2 linked regions of the Kluyveromyces lactis genome follow. The protein of the gene in region 1 interacts with the protein of each later gene in a biochemical or structural test. Links are inferred from orthologs where the notes say so. Each region holds a gene or a part of one and is shown on either strand. Other genes may lie near its edges. The genes, in order: MCD1 and ECO1.

Region 1 (4,086 bases):
GTACTTATGCTGAAGCTGCCGATGGTGCTTTGAAGTTGCAATTTGCTTTGCCACATCAAACCTTGTTTTCTGGTACTCCAGTTACCCAAGTCAACTTGCCAGCTAAGTCTGGTCAAATCGGTATCTTGGCTAACCACGTTCCAACTGTTGAACAATTGGTTCCAGGTGTTGTTGAAGTCTTGGAAGGTTCTTCTTCTAAGAAGTTCTTTGTTTCCGGTGGTTTCGCTACTGTCCAACCAGACTCTACCTTGGCTATCACTTCCGTTGAAGCATTCCCATTAGAGTCTTTCTCTCCAGAAAACGTTAGATCTCTGTTGGCTGAAGCTCAAAAGAACGTCTCCTCTGCTGACGAAGTTGCTGCTGCCGAAGCTGCTATCCAACTTGAAGTTTTGGAAGCTTTGCAAGCCGCTTTGAAATAATTGAGATGAACGAAGAATTACAATTGGACCAAGGTATAATACACTTGATACGGATACTCTACTTGGAAGCAATTGTTTTCCCGGTTGATTGTAAACCTGTCTCGGCGTTTGTATTATCCTTCGTCTGCTTTTTTTTCATTATTCTAATTCCTATTATTCCATTGCACAAGCTTACACAACACAACGACGAATACATTTCATGATTTAGCCTAAAGACCCTTTTTTGTTGCTCCGGTCATTGTCCTTTCTTTCCATACAATACTGTAGTGTGAACGTACGAATAAGACTGGGAACTATTGAGAATTAACCTAAAACGACTATTACTAAAATATACAACGAATTAAAACCCAGCGAATTAAAAGAAATCAGAAGAAATAAATACGATAAAACCTAAAAATTCTAAATGATATGGAGGTTGATACAAGTGATGTCTCGATTCCGTTTCAAAAGGGGGTTCTAGTCTTTGTTTTAATGACCAACAAACATAAATCTTTCTTCAATATACTATTCCTTCCTTTCTAACAATATCAAAGAAAACACTGGATCGATTATAATTTGTCTATCCCCGTTAAAAATATTATCAATTAAGAACCGAATTGAAAGACTTAGATTTTATATTTTTTAGCAGAAACGATTTGTGTGTAACTGATGTCTAGTTTTAAGATTCATATTCATATATACCGATTAAACTGACTGCGCATACTGAGAGAGATGATCTGGTTTTGGCATCAACAAGAGTTAGAAAGGCAGGGTAATAAATGGGTATAAGGTCCTCACTTGTTACCCGGATTTTATACCACGAAATCGAAATTTTTCCGGCGGGAAATCTTTTGAGGTCCCAGAAAAAGACATTGTTTTCCCCCAAAAATATTTTCGCGATTTTTCTCCATAACGCGTTTCCGTGATGAGATCTATAACCAGCAATCCTTTAACAAATATCATTGATAAACACTGGATGAGAAGTATGTCTATTCCATCATATTGATTGCACCTTTACCAATAATTTTATCAAATATATATATTACCTATGGAATTTTAATGTCGTGACCTCTGAAAAAAGACACAGTGCTATTTTATTTCATTTTTATTTTGCTAACCATTCCTTATAAGATCAAGTTCTAATCTCGATCTTAAGTTTATATCCATTTGCTATACCATTTGCAACAGGAACCACGAGCCTTATATCACCTAATCCAAAAATAAACAACGTATATGCCACCAAATAGCAATTCACATACTCAGGTGAGATTAAATACAAGCAATGGGCCGTTGGCTCAGATCTGGCTGGCTTCCAATTTGAGTAGCATCAATCGGAACATTGCAAAGACTAATATCGTGGAATCTGTTGAAGAGATTGCCAAAGCTGCAGGTGTTAATCTAGATGATGAATCTGTGGAACCTATCACATTACGTGCTTCCGGTGAGTTACTACATGGTGTTGTAAAAGTTTATTCTCAAAAAGCATCCTATCTGCTTACTGATATCACAGACTTACTGAGTAAAGTGAAATCTATCTTCAAGGGATCGCTGAACAAGAGCGTCACAATTCAGCTAGATACAGTGGCAAAGTTAGATCAGCTTTTATTGCAAGATGCGGTTACAGAACTTGACGTCTTGGAGATGCCCAGTTTGGATTTCTTGAAAGATATCCAAGTGCCAGAAGGTTTTTTGATCGCTGAACGATCAATGGAAAGACAAGTGCAAGGAGCAGCACCTGTAACATCCGCCATTGCAGCACAACAACAAGCATGGGATATGTCCTTAGAAGTTGGAAGGCGATTCCTGGCAGATGAAGATGATGACTTGAATGCTATTGAACATCACGATTCATCTCATTTGAAATTAGATTTTGACCTTGGTGATTCTAATCAAAGCAATAACACTAAATCATGGGGTGAAGGGACTCGTGTTACTGCTAGTGAAGTAAACGCGGATGATGGAGAAAATGAAGGTGATTTGACTATTAGAAATGACAATGACGATGATGATGAATTGCTACCACTTAACGATGATTGGGATTTGGGATTAAACGATGATGATCAGAATATTTCTGGTAATCAGTCTAGCCATGGTAGCGACATGTCTGTAGAGATCGGGAGAAGGGCTGATATTACTCACTCATTGCATGATGATACACTCTTAGACTTTGATCTAGGGCTGCCAAAGGACACAGAACCAGAGCATCAAGAGCAAGCAGAGGCATACATACCACCTAGAGCAGTAAAGAAGAGGGCACCAAGGAATAAAGCCTTTATCAATGTTAAGAAGGTTCTCATAGATGCTGATGCCGAATTAAACGATTCTGAAGTGAAAGGAGGACCATCGGACTCAATTCTTATCGTTTCTGATGAGACTTCGTCCGCTATATCAAAGAAAAAAAGAGCCATCGATGAATTATACTCTGACCTGGACTTCCTTCCTCAAAAGATTATATCTAATTTCTTCAACCATAAAGCTTCAAAGAAGCCTAGAGCTCTGTCACAATCCAGCCAATCTGATGGGTCCGATGTTGATATAGATATCTCTTTGGGTATCGATGGAAGTTTGGTACACAATTCTGATCCATTCGATCACCAACAAATGGGCTTTGATGCAGAATCAGAAGGACCAGTGTTTGCTGATGATGAACCTCCAGTTCTTGCAGCTGATACATCCATGGAAGAAAATGATTACCAAGCCATTCAATCAGACGAATTTGCCTCTCGTGGGTCAATTGAAAAGGAAAAAAGTCAAAAAGTAGAGCTTGCTACCGGTGAAATCGTGTCTAAATCTACAGTGGAAATGGCAACTCTACTGAGAGATGAAATGAGCTCCGGTGAAGCTACTTTTGATAAAATCCTTACTTCGAAGTACCAGGATAACGCGGTAATAACAAAAAGAATGGCCAGTAAAGCATTCTTTGAGTTACTTTCTCTTGCCACCGCAGACTGTATATCATTGAAACAGAAGGAAACATTTGGACAAATCACAATTTTAGGAAAATCAAACTTATATGAGACGTTTGTTACCGCATAGACTTTTAATTTGGATACTTTTATAACGGACATTATGTATAAATAATTAATAATATCTGTTTTTTTAAGTTGGTTTAAATATACATGACGGCAGATCAGTTCAAGTTGTTGTGCTATTCGATTTCTTCATTTGGTTGTTGCTGTTGTTGCTGCTGCTCCAAGTATTCTTGTATTGATAACTGGTTAATGTGTTGTAAAAGCTCCTCATCAGCGAACCTGTTCATTTGGGATATTTCTAGATGTTTACTATCAATTAGTCCTTCGATTGTTTCTACTACATACTCACTTTCTCTATCATGTGGTTGTGGTGGTAGTACATCGAATTCAAACACAGAATGATCTGACCAAATTTCTTCGGGAATAGCAGCCATAACGGATGACTCTTGAGAAAGAATAGCAAACCTTAACAAATTAATTGGAATGTTATTGATGAAGAATGATGTTGGCGCCACGTCGTCATCATCATCGCCATCATTTATATCCTTCACTGCATCAGTGTCAAACGAAGTGGAATTAAAAATGCTTGCTAACTCATCAAGTAAAAACTTCTTAGCTTCCGCTTCCTTCCAAATGGCGCCCATTCTAGTAGTATAAGCTTTTGTCTCGATAGAAGCGCTCACAGTAGGAGGTTTTAATTTAATTTTCAATTTGGA
Region 2 (2,961 bases), on another chromosome or scaffold:
GTCTAAAAGTGCATATTTTTCTTTTATGACTTAATTCATCAATATCCCGAATGAACAATGATTAGGCGATTACTGCTTGAATAGTCGTGATAATAAATATTGAGGGTTGAAAACTGTAACGCAGCAATGGTCTAATCAAAAAATACGATCTCTCATAAAAGGAGCTGGGACTCTTGGCATACACATAGTAATTTTATGTACTGAGAAATTAATGCTGAAATGGCTTTTCAAAAAGTCAAAAAATTATGGACGAGTCCGGAGTCGAACCGAAGACCTCTCCCATGCTAAGGGAGCGCGCTACCAACTACGCCACACGCCCAATTAATATGTTATGTTGTGATATGGTTTGGATGATAGTTGATTGATTAATCGCCTGATGAGGGATCGTTGATATCAAACAATATAACGAATATAATATAATCTATTTAGCTAGATCGTTGAGTATATGCGTCCTTGCTCTTCTTTCTCTTGTTGCATCCAACCTCCCCAAGAGGTCGCAACATAGCTCAGCCTTTTATACTCGACTTATATACTCGGATGGTCGTCAGACTTCGTCATGGCAACTCATTGCCTCCATGCCCTTGTAGGTTTTGTGCAGCTACCGTCCTCCACGCGCACTCAAGACCATCACGTGACCGTCTATGATCCATCTAGGTCATCCCTCTGGATACCACAGGATCCATATGCCCAGTCACTGACGTCTTGGAACTCTGCCGTGTGCTGGCTAGCTCACATGACCTCTCGTCTGGCTTGTCTTAAGTCTATCTTACGACATGTTATAAGAATGTAGAACTAGTATACAGACTGTTGGAACTAGTCATAACGCATGACCGGGTAATACAAATATAATAGGCGGTTAATAATGGTTTTGTGTCACTGACACATAACAAAGTATATAAACCAGTACTCAGATCTAATCTACTAATTAGTAGGAATCAGATCTACAGACACCAGGTGCATCTAATTATTCTAGGAGATATATAGCTAATCAAGATGGATTCTTCTAATAAAGATCTGATAAGATCAAAGCCACGTGACATGTATAGTCACATACCACAACATGGTAACCATGTGACAAACTCCATTAGCTCTAAGGAAGAATACACGATTTTCTCGTAATTGGTTCCCTATTGCATAAACTGGATACACAGAGGCATATATGGTAAATGCAGCATCTCTTTGCTTACCGTTCTTACCAGTTTTCTCTCATGAACAATACCCTTGTTTCAACCTGAAATATAAATCGATCTACACTTTCTAACGTGTAATTATCAAAAGTAAAAACGCGTCAGTAAATTGCCACCAATCAAAGCTCTCCAATCAACCGTACATGTCCAAATATCGGTCACCAAAGACTAAAAAGTCTATTCAAGCCACGTTACAGTTTAAATCGACCCCAACTCTGGTAAAATGTCCGAAGTGTTCGATAACTTATAGCACTAATTCTCCTAGTGATCTGGTGCAGCACAAAAGATATCATGACTTACATTTAAATGGGAAAAGGTGGTCTCAGAGTTGGGGCGACATCATTAATAGAGTAGAGGCTCTTAAAACAGAGAAACAACTGAAATATTCAATGGTGTCTGAAAAGGATAAAAAAGTGATGTCCTTTCAACTCCCGTCCCAAACCTTATATGAAGAAGATGAGTACATTGTCATGATTTCTCCAAAGAAAGCTAACGAAGTGAAGGCTGCACTCGACTTGATGTCAATTGTAAATGAAGAATTAAATGCACCTCATGATGAGAATGCTTTTTGGTCTGAGGTGGATAAGTCCGGCAAATCACAAGGTAAAGCGTTTATCTACGTAAAGAAGAATAGAGCTGTTGGAGTTATTACAATCGAGTACATCGAGAATACCAACCGAGGTAAATGGATGGTATTGGACACCAAAGCCATAGTACCGAATGTAGTACCGGACGTCAAACTGGGAATATCGAGAATATGGGTATGTAGAAATCAAAGGCAACATGGCATTGCTACAAGACTACTAGAGGTCGCAAGGAAGAAATCAATATACGGATGTATTGTCAATAAATGGGAACTGGCATGGTCACAACCAAGCCAAAGCGGTAGCATATTGGCTAAAAGCTATAATGCTGCAAAACATCGCTCAGGAAAACTTTTAATACCGTGTTACATATGATACATATTAGTATGCAAGTAGATGAATAACGAAACGAATAAAAGAGAAGCATCCAACTGCATAGACGGTTGCAACCAAAGCGTGTAATTATGTGAAATTGATATGAAAGCTGATTTGGTTTCTACTTGCAAAACTGTAACCAACACAGGCAAAATATTCGTACAACGGTCAATCTCTATCTCTTACTCGACGATATCTTTCTGACCCCACTGGTGGTTCTTTTTCCGTTTGATGACGCCAGACGTCTGTTTTTAGGCAGAATTTGTCTCAATGCGTCTGTGTCTTCTATAGACGAGTTGTTAACTTGTCTTGTGTCATTTGGAGACGTTTTCATGCTATTATCAGTATTCATGGAATCATCTATGTCACTGTTATTATCGGTAATCTTGGCGGCAACCTGGTTTTCCTTCTTGTTGATGTCTTCGATTGTGTTGCCTCCATGTCCCTTTCTTGGTTGACCAGGAGATTGTTGAGGTACTGCGGTATGCGAGTTCTTTTGAAAGCCTATTGTTTTCTTTGATACAGACGGAGGAGTCATTGTATGATCATCTTGGGTATATTCTGCTTCGTAATTTACTTTCTTCTTTCTCTTTTGCTGCTTATACTCTTCCACGGTGATCAATGGGTATAGTCCTCCGATCACATCGCTTGGTTCCTGTGATAACCGCATGGTATATTTCCATTCTCTAAAAGAATTTTGATTTAGATACAACCAATGCTGTTGAGGTCCAACAACCATACCAGGTCTCATAAATCTCAAGAACCCAATGCATTCATTTGCAGTGAATCCGTAAGTGTATATCAAATGCGCACCG

The links.
Region 2: of the proteins of MCD1 (region 1) and ECO1, one has a biochemical effect on the other in vitro, tested with the Saccharomyces cerevisiae proteins (3 studies listed by BioGRID). The link is inferred for Kluyveromyces lactis from reciprocal best matches to the Saccharomyces cerevisiae genes MCD1 and ECO1.

The regions. Positions count from the first base shown.
Region 1 is NC_006042.1:1,366,563-1,370,648, forward strand, and holds MCD1 (kleisin alpha), read left to right. Parts: upstream 1-1,631; coding exon 1,632-3,434; downstream 3,435-4,086. Other genes in the region: ATP16 (F1F0 ATP synthase subunit delta), read left to right, coding at 1-419; RQC1 (Rqc1p), read right to left, coding at 3,547-4,086. UniProt on the Saccharomyces cerevisiae protein: Cleavable component of the cohesin complex involved in chromosome cohesion during cell cycle. The cohesin complex is required for the cohesion of sister chromatids after DNA replication.
Region 2 is NC_006038.1:585,776-588,736, reverse strand, and holds ECO1 (Eco1p), read left to right. Parts: upstream 1-1,330; coding exon 1,331-2,146; downstream 2,147-2,961. Other genes in the region: phosphoprotein phosphatase CDC14, read right to left, coding at 2,322-2,961. UniProt on the Saccharomyces cerevisiae protein: Required for establishment of sister chromatid cohesion during S phase but not for its further maintenance during G2 or M phases or for loading the cohesin complex onto DNA.